Linked DNA regions of Arabidopsis thaliana. The protein of the gene in region 1 binds, or shares a complex with, the protein of each later gene. Each region holds a gene or a part of one and is shown on either strand. Other genes may lie near its edges.

Region 1 (4,477 bases):
AACCCACCAGACTCTAAGCAAAATAGGAAACTTTTGATCATGAGAATAGGTAAATTGACTACGTATGTAGAAAGAGATGGCACCCCAAGAAAGGGCTGTAAATAAAAGATCTAAGAGAATCATCAGTTCGCTGCGATCCCAACCATTTTTATGCAGGTTGAAGCAACTTAACAGCAACAACACAGAATTCAAGGCAGACAAAGTCTCACAACATATAACGACCAGTTTATTGTATGTTAAAGACATATCCTTAAACCTCTCATTCGTGAAAGCATCACTATTTTCCCAACCCAACCTTTTCTTGTAAACACAGGAACCAAACATAACTAGCAACAAAAGAAGATTAAAGAAAATGGAGAACATTGGAAAATAATTGGACTCAAGGAGGAAAAAAACGATAGGATTGTCCATCGCGTAACTCTGTTTCATTAGGCAATGGATACGAGAATATTGTTCAAGACTATCACGATGGACAGTATATATAGAGAAGTCGTCAATAAATATATTATTTCGAAGACAAACTCTTGAGTGGGGAATAATTTATAATTCCTTGACGTCTCAACGTCTTCCCTTAGCTTTTTTAATGCTTCAAACCTCAATTCCCAGAAATTCAAATGAAATTTCTTTGAGAAAACATAATATTTTAAAAAGTTTCTCCGCAACAATCCAAAAAGATCGAGACGATTTCATGGAAAATACCACTCCTATCTAACCCCACCACTTTTTCTACAACAAGTTTTAACAGAAACAGATGACACTTACAGAAGAATAGGTAGAGTTCTAGTTGATTGTAGCAAGCAATCCTGGATCCTGACTAGTCTTGTTATAATTTCCTAGAAAGCTGTAGTAAGCAAAACAAAACTCAAGACAATAATGATGAATCTTCAGTTTCTTCCCAACAATCTGATCACAGAAATCATGGTTTAACCAAATAAGCACTTACATACTAAACATATCTTAAGTCTCTGCTAATCAGAAACCAACCACAGGAAACTCCACTAAACAGAGTTCAGAGTTTCCGAGTTTACTTTCCAATCCCATCTTAATCAGTGTTATCTTATGGAGAGACAAATGATCTGATTATGGAAACAGCATCATCGCATATCATATACTTCACCAGCTTCAATAACAGAAGAAGCCGAGAGAACAATGAAAAGCCATAAACAACAACAACAACCAAAAACAAAGACTTTTTCAAATTACATAATCCGACCACTCGGATATATGCGACGTCTGGTCCATAGTCAAACCAGGAATCTTGTCATGCGTTTTCGGATTATCTTTACCACCAAGCAACCTCGCCGGATTTCCAACAGCCGTCGTACGCGGCGGCACGTCTTTCAACACCACCGACCCCGCACCAATCTTAGCTCCTTCACCAATCGTGATATTCCCCAAAATACAAGTCCCAGCTCCAATCAAAACCCCATCGCCAATCTTCGGGTGCCTATCTCCACACTGTTTCCCCGTTCCTCCAAGCGTAACGTTATGGAGAATCGAAACATTGTTCCCCACAACCGCCGTCTCACCGATCACAATAGCCGTAGCATGGTCTAGCAAAATCCCGGTACCGATTTTAGCTCCAGGGTGGAAATCAACAGCGAAGGCTTCAGAGACTCTGTTCTGGATCAACAAAGCTAGGATTTTTCTGTCCTGAGTCCAAAGCTCATGAGCAATACGATGCGCTTGACAAGCGAGGAAGCCTTTAAAGTGAAGGAAACAATGAACGTAGCTTATACAAGCAGGATCTCTCTCCTTAACAGCTAAAAGATCTAGCTTGACAGATTCAACAATATCTGGGTTTCCTTGAAGAACACCAGAGAACAAATCGAAAAGCGTGTTGCTTGGAAGATTCAAATTGCTGAGTTTAACAGATAAAGTATTCGCCAACGCAGCTTCCAACGAACGCTGAGAAACAATCGAAGCGTGATAATAAGCGGAAACAATAGGTTCTTTGGCGATATCAGATTTAGCCTCTTCTCGGATTTTGGCCCAAACATCATCGACTTCAGCGTCGCGATCGAGATCTTCAAGCAAAGGACGAGTATGGAGGGTTTTGGTCTGGGTTCCATTGAAGGAAGATCGATCAGGATAACGGAAGTAGTTCATGTAACGAAAGCCAGATTCATCGTCGTGGTGTTTAGAAGAATCGCGAGGAGAAATCTGGGGTTTACCAGTGCGGCAGGTGTCGATGCACGCAGCCATAGGAGGAGGAGGAGGAGGAGAAGGAGGAGGAGATAAAGTATGGTGTTTGAATTTGGAGGAAACAAAAGAAGGAAGAAGGAAAGAGTGATGATTGATGTGTGGAGAAGATGAACGGAGCATATATAGGGACATTGTGAAGTGGCGGCGACTTGTGACCGGCAACATTTTTTTTTTTTCTCGGCCAAACAAAAAACGGAAGGATGTGAACAAATTTATGTATTTTGGAGATTGTTTCTCTCTCTGTCTTCTTCTTTAGATTTCTTTCCTTTTTGAATTCGATTCCTAATTTTTTTTGTATTAAAATTTTTTGACTGTGTGTGAACACTAGTGGCCACTAGGAGTGGAGAGACTGGGTGCCAAAAAAAGTTATGAATCTGTTGGTATTTTTATTGCAACTTATATAAGAAACTAGATAAGGTCAGGTGTAAGATGTAAATATAATTTTTTATCAATAATATTTAAATTTTGAATAGTAAAATAATAATTTATATATTGTTTTGATATATAATTTTGAATAGTAAAATAGTAGTTTTATGCATTTTATTTTATTATACTCATTCAATCTTATTGATGATATTTGAAGTCTAAATAGTAACATACACATTTTTTCTTTATTATAATTTAGTATTTAGAATAAAAAAACAAATTTTTATCTTACACATTCAATTTTGTAATACATTTTAACTATCTATTTCATAAAAAACTCGATTTTAATTCTACACACTTCATCTTACTTGATAATAATTTCATGTCAAAATAATATTTATATGAGATCAAATCTATATCTTAGTTAATATTAAAAATTATTAACAATTAACAAAACATAATTAATAATAATACAAATTTTGTTAATACCATATATATTAAAAATTTGACCAATAACATATATATATTTTTTTTGTTAATTATCCTTTTGGTTAAGAAAAATAAAATGTAATCTTTTTTAGATATAGTCATATGAATTAGTATATGTTAATAATGATTTATTTTTTAGTTATCTAATTCTTTAAGAAGAAAAAAGTTAATTGATTTCTTTTTTAGTATTTCTATTTTTTTTAAAAGAAAAAAGTTAATTATTTTCTTACACGTATCAACATCTGATCGATAGACTTGACACGTGGTATAATCGTATGAGTTAGTAACTTTGAAAACCATAATTTATATAATAAGATTTGTTTATATTTTCTTTGGGATTTAATTTAGAAAAATGTGTGTAATTTATTTTTGAAAAAAAATGGCATAGCAAATCGAATCATTGTTTTAATTCTCGTGCGATTGAATTAACAAAAATTAAAAGGACATATATGTCGACTGTCGTAATAAAGTAGCACTTGTTTGGTAAAAGAATTTTAAAAAACACATGTTTATTATCATTTTAAATTGTGGTCAGAGTTTTTGTGTACATCTTCTTTTCGGGAGTGAGGCTCATCTATCACATGTTCTTTTTTGTGACACCTACTTTTTTTTGGTTACCATCAACCCACTTTTTTGTTGTTCATTCTTTTTTGTATATACCAAAACAACAAACTATAACGACTAAAAAATAAAATTATCACAATGAAAAGAAAAAAAAGAATATATTATCACAATTCACTATGACGTGAATACGAGCAAGTGCAATCCCATACAAGTGAAATTTAATTTTAAATATTTCATTACCTTTGTTCAACACAAGAACTATATATTTCATTGCCACCTTCGAGATATATAAACCCTTTTTGTTAGACGTGTATAATAGACCTTTCATAAATCAATTTAAGACTAATTTGACTTAACTAGTGTTGTTTAGTAAGGTTTATATATGCCTAGTTGCTTATATTTTTAGGTAAGAATATATGTTTTTTTTTCATTTTGCTTTGAGTTTTATGCTTTGTGGTTTTAATATCTTTTTTTTTTCTATATGGCTTAGACTCCAATAATTTTTTGTGTTCCTCCCGTTTTTGATTCCGAGTATTTATTCATTGCATATCGGCTTTAGTTTCTCTTTTTTTTTTTTTTTTTTTAGTCACTCCCGTGTGTACTATATACTTAATTTCAACAAATTTATCAATATCAAATCAGTTGACAAAAACAAAGAATAATTTGATTTAACTTTGGTGTTTTTGTAATTATAAAATGAAATAAACGTGACGTATGTAATGACAGATGACTTAGTTAGTCTATAGATCCGTGAAGCCATCGTCCTATTTTCAAGCCAAAGTCACTTGAATTTATCATGTGGCTCTCGCTCTTTCTGATCAATTAAATAGCTTTATCAATTAACATAATCATA
Region 2 (5,253 bases), on another chromosome or scaffold:
TTTACTTCAGTCTTCAGATATCTGAATTATCCACAAATCTAAAATTGAGAAAACTTAAAAAAGTTCCCAATTTCGAAAAATGTCACTAACCGCACAATTCTCGCCGCCGGTCACCGGAATAACCAGGAGTCTCCGGGATACAAAACCGTCACTGTCTAATCTCCGTGTATTTCCGGTTTACACTGAGATAAGAACTATGACGACGAGTAATCTGAGGAAATCGGCGTGTTTTGTGGCTAAGGCTATAGAACAGAGACGAGATACAGCTGGATCTGAATCGGAATCAGAAGCGACTCCGTCACCGGCGGAAGAGAGTGGAAGCGGAGAAGATAAGGAAGTGGAGATTAGCGCGATAGGAGCAGAGATAAAAGCAGCGATGGAGCAGAGGAAAACGGCGGAGGAAGAGAAAGGGAAGAACGAGTTTCTTAGTGGAGTTGCGGAGGAAGTGAAGGAGATTGAGTGGCCGGCGTTTCAGAAAGTTCTCGGAACTACCGGCGTCGTGCTCGGTGTTATCGCTGGCTCTAGCGTCGTCTTGCTCACTGTCAATTTCCTTTTGGCTGAACTCTCTGATCGAGTGTTCATCGGAAGAGGTGTTCAAGACTTCTTCAGCTGATCCTGTGAATTGAAAATGGTAAAATTTGTGTGTACAATTTTTAGTGATTGCAATGAGAAATCGAAACATTGTTGATTTGTGTAGATGATGATAAAGAGAATTATCGGAATCACTCCTTTTGAGCATTACCTTCTTCTTATCCTAATCTTATATTTAGCCTGAAATATTGACTTGGGTTATGTTGGTTTAGTTTTGATCATGAAACAGTATGATACTTATGAACAAAGTTACATAGCAAATTTAAACTTCATTAACAAGCAAGTGGTTCACAAAAGAAACAGAGAAAATCTAGTTTGACTTTTATTGGCACACAAGAGAAGATACAGATGGAAGCAAAGACGCAATGTAACTAAAGATGAAGAGTCTCTATAGGAGAAACTGAACATCTCTTTTATTTTGGCGTCTCTTAAGAAGAAATGGAGAATGTTCAAGCCTCGAAGGTCATGGCTTCCGCTTCTTTCCTTGTCGCATCGAAAAGTACCGTTGATAGATACCTCTCCCCGAAACTCGGGAATATCGCCTGTAAAATAATTCAGTTGATTTCGTTTACATCAGAATCAGAAAGAAATCCGGGTTATGTAATCAGAGCTTATTGGCTTTGGGGTGATGATAGAATCAAAGAGCTTACCACAAATAGCTTCCCAGCGTTTTCTGGCCTCTGTGCAAGTTTAATTGCTGCAGCAGCTGCTGCACCGGATGATATTCCCACCTACAGTATAGCTTTTGTTTTTAGAAACAGAACGAAGTTGTAATTCTGATGGAGATAGCTTTTTGTTGTGAAATGTGAAACACTTACAAGAAGACCTTCTTTAAGAGCAAGCTGCCTTGCCATGTCAATGGATTCATCACTTGAAACCTGTTGAAAGCGTTACAGGAAAATGGAGAGAGTCAAGTAAGAAATGAAGCTCTCTTGCATTCAATTGTGTTTTGCTATCAGTCGATAATATCGAAAAGCAGTCTTACCTGAACAACTTCGTCAATAAGATCAACATTCAATACACTTGGTATAAAACCAGCTCCTATCCCTTGAATCTTGTGAGGACCTTGATATTTTCAGCAAACATCATGTGTTAGGAAACTCCGAGGATAAAAAATAAGACATGAGGCAAACCGAGAAACGAGGAACATGCATGCATGGTTATCGTAATAAACGCAGGGGGAACCAAAATCACCTGGCTTCCCACCGGATAGAATAGCACTTTCAACTGGCTCCACTCCATACAGCTAACAGAAGAGGAAACAAAATGAGAAACCGTGCAAAGACACACCACTTAGTCACTTAGATAACAAAGCCAGTTGTTCGAAAAGATGGAGCTCTCACCTTGACGTTTGCGTTCTGTTCTTTAAGATACTTCCCAGCACCTGTAATGGTACCACCAGTACCAATCCCAGAAACAAAGCCATCGATTTTGCCACCAGTGCCTTTCCATATCTCAGGTCCCGTAGTCTCATAGTGGATCTGCATTTGACAGTGAAATTCCATCGACTTAATATGGTTCAAAAACAGACAAAAACAGATACACTAAAGCAATAGTAAATAATAAGCATACCTTAGGGTTGGCAGGGTTCTCAAACTGCTGAAGCATGTAACCATTGGGTGTTTTCGCCAAAATCTCTTCCGCCTTTGCGATAGCTCCTTTCATGCCCTTAGCTGGGTCAGTTAAAACCAACTCAACTCCAAAAGCTAAGAGAATGATTCTTCTCTCAGTACTCATAGAAGCTGGCATTGTAATAATAAGCTTGTAGCCTTTGGCAGCTGCCGTGAATGCTAACCCAACTCCAGTGTTTCCACTTGTTGGCTCAATCAGCACACTCTAAAGAACAAACAAAAAGTCAGAAACAATGAAAACAAAAACAAAATAGTGGTTTGAAGATTCAGATAATCGAAACTGACCTCTCCTGGTTTGATAAGACCCTTCTTTTCTGCATCAGAAATCATGCTAAAACCAATCCTGCAGAAATAAACAAAGTACAAGGTCTTCACAAAACCGAAACTCGAAGCGAGAAACAACACATAGTTTCTGGACTAGAGAAGAAACCTGTCTTTGACGCTAGAGCACGGTTCCATCATCTCAAGCTTAGCAGCAACACGACCAACACATCCTTCAGCAACATTGTTCAAATACACCAATGGAGTGTTCCCAATCAACTGCCAAATAGAATCAATCAATACATGAACATGGAACAAAGCTCACTCCTTCGTGAAATGAACAGTGAAAGAACTTGAAAGCCTTACTTCAGTCACATCTTTAGCAATTCTCGAGGCCATGATTCAAGCTTCACTGCTTAAATTCACAAAAAGAGAAAAGTAAGACCAAAGGAATAAATCATCCTCAAACCAAAAACACATCATACAAAATCATCAAACATAAATCTCCAGATGTATGAGCACCAATCCAGTTATACAACACTCTTAACACCAAATCAACAGATTTAACAGCGAAATAAGCTTAAGCCCATACAATTATCCGATCCAAACAAATATAATCGAAACCGGCAGAGGAATAAGCAAGTGAATCAAAAAGTATGGGACGAGGAAGAAGATGATACCTGAATGAGAAAGTCAATAACCTTGACCCGAATCGTTTTGAAGAAAATGGAGAAAATCGGTTGTATGGAATAAAATCTTCGAATGATGAGATATATGATCTCTTTGGTGTCAGTCACATGGCACACGCTATCAATTTAGAAAAACGCGGTGGTTGGTCACCAGAATTACTACTTCTCGGTCTGATTTGGTCATATCCGTATTAAGTCCGGTTAATATTTTCCATAACTGGGGTTTGAACATTCGGTTTCTTTTTTTCAGTTAGTCCGATTTGGAGTTTTGAGTATGGAAAAATAATACTGAATTTATTTGTTCAAACTGTTTTGGAAAAAATATTTCCCTTAATTACGAATATAATTAAAATTTTAAAATTCATTTTATTAGATCTTGGTTAATTCGGTTTAATGCATTAATGAATTTCGGTTTAAGTCGGTTTTCGGTTTTTATGTCCCACCACTATCTACAACCGATGATCAACCTTATCTCCGTATTCACCACAAACAGTCATCACTCTCACTTGACACAAAAACTCTTTTGTCTCCGTCTCTCTGTCTCTCATGGCGACTCTTCCTCTCCCGACTCAAACTTCTACAATCTCTCTCCCTAAACCTTATCTCTCCAATTCCTTCTCCTTCCCACTCCGTAACGCAACACTCTCAACAACAACAAACCGCCGGAACTTTCTCACCACCGGAAGGATCATAGCTCGGGCATATAAAGTGGTGGTAGAGCACGACGGAAAGACGACTGAATTGGAAGTCGAACCAGACGAGACGATTCTATCTAAGGCTCTTGACTCTGGCCTTGACGTTCCCTACGACTGCAATCTCGGTGTTTGTATGACTTGTCCAGCGAAACTCGTGACCGGAACGGTGGATCAAAGTGGTGGGATGCTAAGTGATGATGTGGTTGAACGTGGCTACACGCTTCTATGTGCTTCGTATCCAACTTCTGATTGTCACATTAAGATGATCCCTGAGGAAGAACTCTTGTCTCTCCAGCTCGCCACTGCCAACGACTAATCATCTTCTTGATTTAGACTAAAGAAGTCTTTTTTTTGGTGTAATACGAACACTTTGTAACGAATCTTGCTATGAGACTTCGAAATCTTGATTTCAATGAGCCAATACAAACAGTGATACATAACATAATCACAGTGAAACATTCCTGGTTTAAGATGAATCTATTAAGTACTGAACTAAATTCGTTGATTGAAACATTAGGAAAGTGAATAGATATGTATAATTTAGATTAATAAACACACAAGGGTAGACTAATTCAGAACCAGAAAGAGTGAGAGTGTTAGCTACAAATGATACGATATAAAAAAAGAGAGATTACAACAAAAACGAGGTAGAGACAAAACGTAGACACCAGAGATCAGTGGTTGGTTACTTACCATCTTCTTTTTTCCTTTGTCATTGTCTAATCAGTAGTAAGCATGCTGAATATGGTGGTGGTGGTGCGGGTGAGGATGGTAAACTGGAGGGGGTGGAGCAGCCACCGGACTGCAGTAGGTACCATATGCTGTCGGATAACTGACCGGAGAGGTTTGGTAAGAACCATGAACCGCCTCGGGTGAGTATTGGTATGGAGGGCTCCTGTTGCTGTAGATGGTAGGTGGGGATGTGGTGTATGCTGGTACACCGTATTGAGGTGAGTGACTTTGGGATCTGATGAATGTTGGTGGAGGCGGTGGGAAAGAGGAGACGTAAGCGTTTGTGATACGCCCTGCTTTGGCTGGTGGCATTGGACCGCTGTAGCTTGCTCGGGTTCTCTTGTTGGCGGGAATCACGGCTGGTTTTCTCTTCTCGGTTTTGGTCTTCTCTAGCTGATCCAACCTCTTCTTGAGATTCTCGGGTGGGAATTCTTCCTCGAGTTTGTATTCTTCTATGCATTTTAAGACTGCTCTAAGTGCTGATTGCTCTTTGCGCGCCACAAGATGCTAGAAAAATACACACATACATTGGTAAGCGAGTGCAGAAGAAACAGATCCCTGCAAATGGATCCAGCAAAGAAAACGAGTAACACAAATGGAGGAAAGTACCGCAGATCGGCCAGAATTGTTGGAATCATCAGTGATTAAAGCTGT
Region 3 (5,751 bases), on another chromosome or scaffold:
AACAACCATGTCGAGACTTGTAATGGGTCTCAAATACATACCAATCGATGTCAGATGGTATAAATTGTTAGACCCAAAGAAACCACCAAACTCACGTTCATCACATATTGCCGGATCAATATCTATCTTCCAATGATTTGGATAATTGTCGCTTGAACGTCCAATCATATACTCCCCGACGTTAGTGCGAAATGTCAAATTTCTGATCCCTCCACCATGCTTTCTTAGTACTCCACTTAATCAAGTTACATATTCGTCTTGATTCAGTCTCAACTGCGTTTAAACTTCATCAAAAACAAAACTTGACCGGATCTTACGCAAACGCAAAAATAAATAATTGTTATTGACACAAAACTTACAACACGAAAGTTGGAGCCCTCCTCAATGCCACCATGCTGTTTAGACAGGACTAGAGCTCCATTCTCCAAAAAACCAAACTGAATAGACATTATGACTTCGTCGAAAGCAACATATATGTGAGAGATCTTGCGTCCCTCGTAATCCCAACTATCGTCACCCATCACCTCTTCTCCAACACCGTCGTCCCAATAAGTATACTCACATGTCGATTTTTTTCCCACTGATCCTGCTCTTATCATCGCTATATAAGAAGCAGGCACAGAGTACAATAGTTTTAAGTGGAAGGAGAGATATAGATAGGCGAAAGGACGATTATATAGGAGACTGTCTTGTCCAAAACTCGAAGAGTCGTCATAACTTTCATTTATGGATTCCATTGGGAGAAAGCTAAACAAGTTTCCAGGTACATTAAACAAAACGCTCGAAAATTGTGCTCAAGAAGAAGACTCTTCGTTTGACCAAAACCTCTTATGCCTTTATTAATAACAAACACCAAATTGCGTTGCGAATTGTAAATATACACAGTAGACGTAGAGATTTCTGCAGAAACGTCTATTAGAAGAAAAACAATCAGCAATAAATCAAAGAAGAGGTTCCTTGTTGGTCACGAAATTACAGAAGAAAATCAAAGCTCGGGCTGCATTTGCTCGCACTCTTCTCGAATCGACTGGAAAAGCTGGGTCGAGAGGTAACGTTCCCCGAAGCTCGGGAACACAACCTGAAAACCAAGATTCAGCAACTCACATATCAAACTATACATATGATGAATCTGTTATATTTTTTACTCCATACTAAGCTAAAATCCTTTCACTGATTCCCTACGTTGGGCTATAGTAATTGAATAATAAGCTCCTCTCTTGTTCTTTGCAATGACTAGGGTTTGGTGTGGCAGAGAGATTAAGCTCCTCTCTTGTTCTTTGCAATGACTAGGGTTTGGTGTGGCAGAGAGATTAAGGCAACGTAAACGTTCATTAGACGTATAAACCAAACCAACTACTCAAATACAAATGTTAAAATAAGTAGTAAGACTCTAAAAGGACCAAGGTTCATGATTAGATAACTTAAGAACTCTTTTTCTATATCATTCAGTGGTTGGTCACAGATACAAGACTAGGTTTTGGTCCATAAAGAAATTATGATGAAGAACATTGAGGACTTACGGCTATGAGTTTCCCGGCATTTTCAGGTCTCTTTGCAACCTGGATTGCAGCAGCAGCAGCAGCTCCAGAAGATATACCAACCTGAAAAGGTTATAGTCGTTTACTAATCGTCATAGATTTCTCATATGCATTTACATTCGTTTTCTATCTTTTATAAAGAGTGTTCCCACTAACAAATAAGTCAAACAGAATAACAAATATAGACTAACCAACAAGCCTTCCTGGAGAGCTAGTTGCTTCGAGGTTTCAATAGCTTCCTCACTGGAAATCTGATAAGAAGCAACAAAACAGGTGAAGTTAAAAAGGAAAATTGTTGCTTGCTGAAAGTGAAAAAGATGAATGTATAGTTATAGAGAACCAAACCAACAGATCATACCGCTATGTATTCATCTACAATAGCCAGATCCAAATTCTTGGGTACAAATCCAGCTCCAATTCCTTGAATCTTGTGAGGTCCTGCATTTCAAATACATGTCAAATAAACGCAAGATAAAAAGAATAACGTGCCAGAGAAACAAGAAAAACAAAATCACTGCCTTACCGGGTTTTCCACCAGAAAGTATAGCACTTTCCGTGGGTTCGACACCAATAACCTGGTACAAGTAAACATCAACTAATTAAATATAACTACAAGTACAAGTAAACATCAACTAAATCTAATTACGGAGGTTATAACATCTACAGTTGATTCCAGCTGATATGCTACAAGCCCTCTTGCTATGTACCTTCAATTCAGGTTTTCTTTCTTTAATGAATCGACCAACACCAGTGATAGTTCCACCAGTTCCAATCCCCGCAACCAATATATCGATTTTGCCTCTTGTATCTTCCCAAATCTCAGGACCAGTCGTCTCATAATGAATCTGCATTTAATCTTATATCAAAACACTAACAAATACTTGCAGCTTTTACCAATGGAACCAGTGAATCCCAGATATAATCGTGATGATTCAAAACTGTATACCATAGAAACTCTACAACAATCCAAAAGGAAGTGCGGAAGAATTTCACTATCATCTCTAATGAACCCTTTCACACACCACCTCTTACTACTGTACAAGGCCAGAAGTAATCGTAGCTCATAATTCATGTCACAGTTAGAGAGTATGATGAAACAAGAAGTAATTACAGACCTTGGGATTGGCAGGGTTGTCAAACTGTTGGAGCATGTAGGAATTGGGAGTTTTTTTCAAGATTTCTTCAGCCTTCTGAATTGCTCCAGTCATACCTTTTGCAGGTTCAGTTAACACAAGCTCAGCTCCAAATGCCCTCAAAAGAACCCGCCTTTCCAAACTCATGGACGCAGGCATCGTCAAGATAAGTTTATAGCCTTTTGAAGCAGCAATGAATGCAAGGCCAATCCCTGTGTTCCCACTCGTAGATTCCACAAGAACACTCTAAAACATTTGCAGCAAGAAAACAAAATCAGAGGGCTTGACAGTTGACACTCAATACAGAATCATTCAACAACAATAAAAGGTCAAATCCATAATCAAATACCTTTCCAGGTGTTATAAGTCCTTTCTCTTCAGCATCAGTAATCATACTGTACCCAATCCTGAAATCACCACAACAACACAAGCTCAGAATGTATAAATGTGAAAGATAGCAAAACCAAAATCAAATTATATTTGGATACACAAACCTATCCTTGACACTGCAACATGGTTCCATGATCTCAAGCTTAGCAGCAACACTTGCAACACAGCCCTTGACTACATTGTTCAAGTACACCATCGGAGTTTTCCCAATAAGCTGAATCAATTCATAACATTCAGAAAGAATATAAAAAAATTAGAAACGAAATCAAAATTCAAAGAAGTCAAATTTACAAGACTAATAATACTCAGTTAGTTTATATCTTCCCCTAAATTGACAAAATTGATCACCAATTTAGATTTCCTCTGTCTCTATCCAAATGCAAACGAAACACAATCTAACCTGAGCGGCGTTATCGGCGATATTGAGCCCTTCAACACCAGCTTCTGGCTTGATAGATACAGCCTTGCACACAACATCACTCCGGCTCTGTCTCTTGAGCGTGAAAGCAGCTGAGGAAACATCGAAAGCAGCAGCCTTTCGAGAGGATAAGGAGAGAGAAGAGAGCTCTGGCGAGTATTTGAAAGGACGGTGGCGAGAAGTCAACGGATTAAGGAGAAAAGCAGAGGAAGATGTCGCCGCCATGACTTGCTCTTTTGCTTCAGTGTATCTTCCTCACTTTCCGAATATTGTACACAGAGAGAAGTAGAGAGAGACTAGAGATGCGGTTTAAACTTGAAGACACTGACTGATTAGATGATCGCACTGTAGCTGCAAAACGACGTCGCTGTTTAATTTCTAAATAAAAAAATCATTTTGGCATCTTCTTTCTACAAGATTTATCCTTTTTCCTTGAATGGTAAAACAGAGTATCTGGAGAAAAGAAGAGACTTTGAAATTGAATTAGTAAAGTTTTGTTTTTTACAATCTCACCAACCTACTAGTCTGATCCAACAAGAAGGTGAATATAGAGCACATGTTCTTCTTCATCATGCAGCCCTACCAAACTCTCAAAGGTCAGATAAAATCTTTCTGGATCTCTTTTTGTTCTTTGCCTTCTTTTAATTTCTGGGTAGCTGTTAAAGTTATTACAAACTTTTAGTGTAGTAAGGTACTGAAAGAGACGATTCTTCTTTGTCGTTATCTCTGTCTTTCTATGATTCTATCCATTCGATCCTCAATCTTACAAAAACTCGAACTTTGGTCAGTTTTGTAGACGAGTTTTGTGCCTTTGCTGTTTTTGTCTGATTCAATAAAAATTGACCGATTTGGCAAATTCTTAATCCGATTTGAGACATCGTTTTTTGAGTTTGTTCATTGGTCCACTATTCTCCTACTTTGTTGATTTGACTCTTCCATTTCTGGATTAGTAAGATGTGATTGCCATTAGATTGCGCAAGAAAGGTTCCTCATTTGCTCTGTTTGCCTTTGACTAAACAAATTGTCTGTTTGATTAGTTTTGGATGATAGGTGATGAGATAGTCATGGTTGTTTATTTCCTCCAATTGCAGGTTAGAATTTGCTATCGGATCATCTGCTAAGCTTGGTTTACTCTTCCTAGAACATCGATTGTATCGAGGTTTACTATTGGATCAAAGATGTCTGCAGAGGAGAAGAACCTTATAGAGATCTTGGAGGAAGGTCACAAAGTCGATGTTGTTAAGTACATTGATTATGTCAGTGCCCCTCAAGCTGGTGCTATTGCGACATTCTCAGGCACTACAAGAGACATGTTCGAGGGCAAGACAGTGTTGGAGTTAAGGTATGAAGCATATGTGCCAATGGCCACACGATGCCTCAGCTCGATCTGTACAACTGCTAGATCAACTTGGGATATCCACAAGATTGCTGTTGCTCACCGTCTTGGACCAGTTCCTGTTGGAGAAACTAGCGTGCTCATTGCGGTCTCATCTGTTCACCGTGCAGATGGTTTAGATGCTTGCAAGTTCTTGATCGACGAGTTGAAGGCATCGGTTCCGATATGGAAGAAAGAGGTTTACACTAATGGAGAGATTTGGAAGGAGAATTCTGAGTTTATGGAGAAAAGATTGGAGCTTGCAGAGAAAAGAGACAGCATTGTAAAAAAAACTGTGGTTGAAGAACATAGAAGAAGAGGTTGCTGTGGAAGCAAAGTTAGAGTAGAAGAAGATGAAGAGCATAAAGATATTACAGGAGATAACAAATCTTCTTCTTGATCACTTGTAGCAGTAACACTGTTTCGCTTTTTACTTTCAATAGACAAACTTTCTTAAGCACATTGTTGAATCTAAAGACTTATATGCGTTAGTTGGTTACTGGACTGGGCTTATACTTGCTACTGCTTGAATCTGTAAGAATCTAATCGAAGATACTGCAAGATTGTAATACCAAAGATAACAATTTTAAGGAGAACTAAAATGATGACCTCATCTGTTAAAGTAGAAGAAGATAAAGAGCGTAATGAAGATATTACAGGAGATAACAAATCTTGATTACTTGTACCAAAGAGCAATGTTTCGTTTTTTCTTTCAATAAACAAAATGTCTCAAAGCACATCGTCGATTCTAAAGACTTCAATTCCACTTAGAGTTGCAAAGGTTTCACAGCTTTGAAATTCAGATCTCTCCCAAGTAGATATTTTTATCACTACTGCAAGATCCAATGATAGGCTCGGTTGGGTGGAAAACACACTCATTGACAGAACCGGTATGGC
Region 4 (5,884 bases), about 18 Mb from region 1:
GATTCCATCTTTATCATCATAGTAACCAGCAGAAGCAGAAACAACAGATGTCAAACCATTGCAACATGATTATCATCAATATCTCCGAACTCTTGGTCTTTTTGTATATCTAACTCGATAGCTATAACGTGGTTTGATGATTTACCGTTGGTTGTTTCATTGAATAATCCGAGGTACTGATCGGAGGAAGCTCCTGGAAGGCCTGCTGTAGGAGAGATAACGAAAGACATGCCATGTGAACCGGACTGTGTATGCTCAGGTACTATTCCAAAGAGGAAGTGGAAGCTGAAAGACGAATCTTTTATGGGAATGGATTCGTTGTTGAAAGTTTGACCGCAGGAATGCTTCTTGGTGTTCGTTAAAATGGTGTCACCAATGGAGTTGTCAGCTGCAGAGCCCTCCAGGGTCCAGTTTCCATTGGAGTTGTAAGTAGATGAAGACAGAGTATAGAGCAGAACAAGAACTATATGCAAGACTTTGAGTTCACTAGGCATGTTAGGATTTTTTTTGTTTTTGCTTATGGGAAGAAATTGATCATATGAGATATTTTTATCATCTCATTGAGAGTTAAGTAAGAGTATAAAAGAATTCCAAACTGCAAAAGTAGGGTCGAACAAAATGGAAACGAACGTTCACATGGATTTCCGCGTTGTTCATATTAAAAATTTATGTATTTACACACACATGGGGCCTAAACCAAGTCGTAAAGCAATTAAGATAATAATCTTCCAATCTTCATTGGATTCAAAGCAATTATCGTGGGATTGGTAGAGCGTGTCCTAATCCTAATATTAACCGCTGACTCTCTGAGCATTAGAAAATATATGGATCAAAATTTCAAAAAGACGGGATTTTTCTATGATCTTAAAACTGTGTGAAAACTGGAAAACATCAAAAAGTACTTTAAAAGCAATAATCGAACAAAGTAAGTTTCACATCCAAAGTTTTGACCACAAAATTTGTATTAAAAATAAGTTTTTGACATGTTTTAGAGTTAGATTCTGATTTTATTTTTTTCTATTGGTCTACATGAAAAAGTAAAGTTATATCACTAACCTATCATCGTTGATCATTATATATGAAAATACTCATGAAAGTTAATATTTTTTAGGTTAACAAGAAAAACAAACAAGGGATCAATCATCTTGTTCAATTCAATATAATTAAGCATTGGGATTTCCAACAGAAAATGTTGAGTAAAACATAGACTAGTGTTGGATATCCAAAATAGAACTCAAACCACATTCACTAATGCCTTATTGATAAAAATAAATTGCTTAGCACTCAGACTGTAATTATGGGAGAAAGAGCTTTGCAGAAGTAGACCAAGTTGCTAATGTTCATACCTCAGGCTGCATTTTCTCCACCTCTTCCCGGATAGACTGGAACAGCGGGGTCGATAGATATCTCTCCCCGAAGCTCGGGAAAACAACCTGAAAAACCGCATTCATAGATTCATTAACAGTTACCTACTTAGAAGATTTAACAATCTAACTAGCCAAGTGACTATATTGTTGATTCTTTGGTTTAGTATTGGATCACAGACTCGGGAGACTTTAATAATCCTCAAATCTATCTTAAGATGAAATCTAAAGCAATCCATCTATATGTTGCACAAAGACCCCTTGCACCACCTTTTTGTTTTCAAGACATAACACATAACTGAAACCGAAAAGACTTACAGCTATGAGTTTTCCAGCATTCTCAGGTCTCTTAGCCACCTTGATTGCAGCAGCAGCTGCAGCTCCAGATGATATACCAACCTGACAAGATTATTACATTCACGTAAGAATCTTGTGTAATTTCCACCTTTCACATGCAACATGACACCACAACATCCGTGTGGTTCCCACTCAGAAATCATAAATACTGCAAAGAACTAACCATCAAGCCTTCCTTAAGAGCTAGTTGCTTTGCGGTTTCTATAGCTTCCTCACTTGAAATCTGGTAAACGCAAAAAGAAGATAGTAATTGATGAAGTTTGAGTCTCAGGAATTGGAAAATTTAAGCAATAAATTGACACAAGAATTGTGGATGTTTTGTGGAAACCAGATAAATTGTATAACCATACAGAATCCAACAAAATAAATCATACCGCTATGACTTCATCCATAATTTTCTGATCCAAATTCTTAGGTATAAATCCAGCTCCAATTCCTTGAATCTTGTGAGGTCCTGTATAAATGCAAGAGAAAGCAAAATACGTGAATATAAGATCATATTTCGAAATCATGGAAACAAAATTACTGATTGATATCTATTGGCAAGCCTTACCCGGTTTGCCACCAGAAAGTATATCGCTTTCGGTGGGTTCTACACCAATAACCTGGTACATGTAAACATCGAATAGTTAACTACGAATTATATTGCTTGAATGAACATACAATACTGTCTAAATAACACCTGAAAATGTACTCCAGCTAAGAATGAAACCATTGAACTTTTGCATCTACCTGCGTTTTGGGATTTTTCTCTTTAATAAATCGACCAACACCAGTGATAGTTCCACCAGTTCCAATTCCTGCAACAAAGATATCCACCTTGCCCTTTGTATCATCCCAGATCTCAGGACCAGTAGTCTCGTAATGAATCTGCGTATATTCAAACTTGAGTTTACAAACGTGACAAGAGAACCTCACAGAAGATCATGCCGATTTCAAAGGATCAGCCACTTCCCAATTTGCTTGTACAGTTTAAGTGAAAACCACTTCAGTTACACACTTGTGGGCATTCTCTAAATACAGATGAGTTTCTGGTTAACTCTAACTTAACATTTCATTTCTCTTCTTATGGTACATGACTAGAGCAAAAACCAAATCATGACACAAATAAGGAAAAATATAAACCACAAACCTTTGGATTTGCAGGGTTGTCAAACTGTTGGAGCATGTATGCATCAGGAGTGTTTTTCAAGATCTCTTCAGCCTTCTGAACCGCTCCAGTCATGCCTTTAGCAGGATCTGTTAATACAAGCTCAGCTCCAAATGCCTTTAAAAGAACCCTTCTTTCCATACTCATGGATGCTGGCATTGTCAAGATAAGTCTATAGCCCCTTGAAGCAGCGATGAATGCTAGGCCAATACCCGTGTTTCCACTTGTAGGTTCCACAAGAACACTCTAGATCAATGCAGTAAGGACATGATTAACCACCAGAAATAACAGACTATAGATTGTACAACTTTATGTGTGTAAAAGCTGGTCTCATCCATTAAACTTTACAAAAGACTGATCAATCTATAATCGATACCTTTCCAGGTGATATAAATCCTTTTTGCTCAGCATCAGTAACCATACTGTACCCAATCCTGAATCCGTGAAACATAAAAGTTAGGACTTGAAGGGACTCAACTAAAAACATACAAACAAGCCACAAAAGACTTAAGCTACAGACCTATCCTTGACACTGCAACATGGCTCCATGATCTCGAGTTTGGCAGCAATATTTGCTACACAACCTTTTGCTATACTGTTCAAGTACACCATAGGAGTTTTCCCAATGAGCTGAATCAAGCCAAGAACAATGAGAGATACGTAAGTAAATTCTGAACTATTTAAAAAGCTAATCAAGTTTCAAATTTTAATGGACAATCACACTTTCGCCAACATTCCCATTAGAGGAAAGCTCAAAAATTTGATCACCAATTTCAATTTCAAATCTAACCTGAGACACATTGTCAGCGATGTTGAGTCCATCAGGTCCAGTCTCGCGCTTAACAGCCTCACACACAACAGACGGATCTCGTTCCGAACCATCAGCAAAACTCCGACTCTGCCTCTTCATCGCTAGAGAGAAATCAGAAGCGGAGGAGAAGGAGAGAGAAGAGATCTCTGGCGAGCATCTGAAACGACGGAGAGTAGAAGAAGAAGAAGAAGAAGTCAACGGATTAAGAAGTAAAGCAGAGGAAGATGTGGCGGCCATGGATGTGTAGCAGCTTCGGTTTCCCAAAAGTGTAGACAAGATTTGAGATGCGAGCTTAGCTTCCCGGTTAAACCTTGAAGCCATGATCATCGCCACCATGATCCTACTTTTCTATTTTCTTGGAATACGACGTCGATTGGATTTTCAGATACGGTCCATTTTTAGACCAAGCTTTCAACTTTATATTAAGTTTCATTTTTATATTTTATACATTTTTTTTTTAATCACCAACCAAGTGAAGTGCACTGACCAAAAGCGAACGTGGAGAATGTGTTCTTATTCGTACCTTCATACCTCTCAAGTGTTGCATGAATCTTTCTGGTTAACTTTTTTTTTTTTAATGTCAAATTCATCGTCTTGGATCCGTTGCCGTTAGATATTCTTGTTCTTGAATTTGACATTGTTTGGTTTTGGTTTGGTCAACAAGGAAATAGTCAGTAACAAAGGAACCAAAAGCTTCTGAGAAAATGTAACTTGAAAAGATTCTTCTTCTTAAATTTGACATTATTTGGTTTTGGTTTGTTCGATAAGGAATCAGCTCATCTTAAGCCCGTATAACTGAGTCAAACAATGGTAGGCGGTAGCAATTAGCCAATTAGGGTTGTCTTAATCCGAGCTACATAAACTCTAACAAAAGCGTTCCAACACTCAAAAAAAAAAAATGTAAAACACCTGAACAAACACATTCACCGTTAAATTTGCACAAAGACAAAAATGGGCCTTAGAGCCGACACTAAAAAGGCCGTTAAGCAATGAATAGCCACATTAATCGTTCCACGCGCATTATTCTCACGGAAATATGCCGTTGTTGTACCTTTTTTTTTTTCTTTCTCGATATTTTCGTCCATTAGTAAGTATCTTCTAAGACTTCTACATCAATAGAACATTAAATTATGATCAATTACTATTTTATTGGGTAACGAGTAACCACATCAATAGAATCTGATTTCTTAACCATTCGAAGTACAAACTGTAAAAGTCTGAGAAAATTGGTTGTTTTTCGTTTGTAGTTATGCAATTTTAAGTAATGTCTGTAAAATACAAAAATTTTGTTATACAATTTTGATATATATATTATGTAAGAGTTTCATGAAATTTATGCGTCAAATTCACTTAAAAAACTATATACCAAAAGTCTTACCATTTTACATTTACTCTATATATTCAATAAAAATATAATTTAAAAGGTATAGAGACAAAAACAACACAGAGAATTCACTTGCAAACAACAAGTGCTTAAACTTTATTTTTATTGATAATAAACTCTTTAACAAGTATTATCTCGGAACTTACTTGACATATTCTACCTGAATGAACAACCCCGACTAAGGAGAATTAAGTTTAATGAACAACCCCTGAATGAACAACCCCGACATTTTCTACCTGAATGAATAATTAAGCCTAATTGTCCTCTATTTCTTATCAGCCGCCCGTGAAGACAAAAAGAACTAACACTAAGAACAATTAAGAATAATTAAGCCTAATTATTCAACTCGACTAAGAACAACCCCGACTAATGCTTTGAAGTTTACAAATTGTACAATGCTTAAAGCCTCTAGAAGCCTAAACCCTAAGATCTCCAAGGGTCTTTGATATCCAACAACTTCCTGAAATCCAACACGTCGGCATCAGCTGGTTGAAATTTGCAACTTCATAATTCATGAATGCATTTTACTCATATTGTTTTTAATCACATTTTTGCTCTAGAATACTTATTACCCGAGAACGCATTTCGTTTATTTTTCGACTATTCAATATGATTTGACGAAACTAAAAAGTGATATAATGTTTGAGTATTCGACTGTTTTTGGCTAAACTAAAATGTGGTTTACAAACGATTGATTAGAGATATTTAGGTTCGTATCTCAACTAAGTGTTGCGACTAGGTGCTAACTTGTTTGAGTGTGCACAGTCTTTTGTAACTAAGTTCGTTACAGGTGTTCCGACTAATGTGTTTATCTCTTC

What was found.
Region 2: SERAT2;2 (region 1) and OASA1 share a complex: the UniProt entries of both Arabidopsis thaliana proteins name them as parts of the cysteine synthase complex.
Region 3: SERAT2;2 (region 1) and OASB share a complex: the UniProt entries of both Arabidopsis thaliana proteins name them as parts of the cysteine synthase complex.
Region 4: SERAT2;2 (region 1) and OASC share a complex: the UniProt entries of both Arabidopsis thaliana proteins name them as parts of the cysteine synthase complex.

The regions. Positions count from the first base shown.
Region 1 is NC_003074.8:4,213,745-4,218,221, forward strand, and holds SERAT2;2 (serine acetyltransferase 2;2), read right to left. Parts: upstream 2,559-4,477; 5' UTR 2,371-2,558; coding exon 1,195-2,370; 3' UTR 655-1,194; downstream 1-654. Other genes in the region: ABCC7 (multidrug resistance-associated protein 7), read right to left, coding at 1-429.
Region 2 is NC_003075.7:8,517,169-8,522,421, forward strand, and holds OASA1 (O-acetylserine (thiol) lyase (OAS-TL)), read right to left. Parts: upstream 3,429-5,253; 5' UTR 3,164-3,428; exon of another isoform or gene 2,969-3,163; intron 2,899-2,968; exon of another isoform or gene 2,896-2,898; 5' UTR 2,883-2,895; coding exon 2,850-2,882; intron 2,763-2,849; coding exon 2,653-2,762; intron 2,566-2,652; coding exon 2,508-2,565; intron 2,428-2,507; coding exon 2,164-2,427; intron 2,073-2,163; coding exon 1,935-2,072; intron 1,838-1,934; coding exon 1,786-1,837; intron 1,657-1,785; coding exon 1,577-1,656; intron 1,470-1,576; coding exon 1,410-1,469; intron 1,323-1,409; coding exon 1,242-1,322; intron 1,134-1,241; coding exon 1,041-1,133; 3' UTR 792-1,040; downstream 1-791. Other genes in the region: SECE1 (secE/sec61-gamma protein transport protein), read left to right, coding at 80-613; FdC1 (2Fe-2S ferredoxin-like superfamily protein), read left to right, coding at 3,719-4,183; AT4G14900 (FRIGIDA-like protein), read right to left, coding at 4,591-5,106, 5,209-5,253. UniProt on the Arabidopsis thaliana protein: Acts as a major cysteine synthase, probably involved in maintaining organic sulfur level.
Region 3 is NC_003071.7:18,128,619-18,134,369, forward strand, and holds OASB (O-acetylserine (thiol) lyase B), read right to left. Parts: upstream 4,021-5,751; 5' UTR 3,705-4,020; coding exon 3,462-3,704; intron 3,276-3,461; coding exon 3,166-3,275; intron 3,079-3,165; coding exon 3,021-3,078; intron 2,918-3,020; coding exon 2,654-2,917; intron 2,384-2,653; coding exon 2,246-2,383; intron 2,114-2,245; coding exon 2,062-2,113; intron 1,977-2,061; coding exon 1,897-1,976; intron 1,790-1,896; coding exon 1,730-1,789; intron 1,602-1,729; coding exon 1,521-1,601; intron 1,224-1,520; exon of another isoform or gene 1,079-1,223; coding exon 986-1,078; 3' UTR 817-985; downstream 1-816. Other genes in the region: AT2G43745 (jacalin lectin-like protein), read right to left, coding at 241-273, 360-737; AT2G43760 (molybdopterin biosynthesis MoaE family protein), read left to right, coding at 4,658-5,254; AT2G43770 (Transducin/WD40 repeat-like superfamily protein), read right to left, coding at 5,654-5,751. UniProt on the Arabidopsis thaliana protein: Acts as a major cysteine synthase.
Region 4 is NC_003074.8:22,071,328-22,077,211, forward strand, and holds OASC (O-acetylserine (thiol) lyase), read right to left. Parts: upstream 4,090-5,884; 5' UTR 4,019-4,089; coding exon 3,662-4,018; intron 3,502-3,661; coding exon 3,392-3,501; intron 3,306-3,391; coding exon 3,248-3,305; intron 3,118-3,247; coding exon 2,854-3,117; intron 2,592-2,853; coding exon 2,454-2,591; intron 2,327-2,453; coding exon 2,275-2,326; intron 2,176-2,274; coding exon 2,096-2,175; intron 1,945-2,095; coding exon 1,885-1,944; intron 1,764-1,884; coding exon 1,683-1,763; coding exon of another isoform or gene 1,670-1,682; intron 1,434-1,669; coding exon 1,347-1,433; coding exon of another isoform or gene 1,334-1,346; exon of another isoform or gene 937-1,333; intron 807-936; coding exon 792-806; 3' UTR 621-791; downstream 1-620. Other genes in the region: AT3G59750 (Concanavalin A-like lectin protein kinase family protein), read right to left, coding at 57-494. UniProt on the Arabidopsis thaliana protein: Acts as a cysteine synthase. Plays a role in the sulfide detoxification in mitochondria.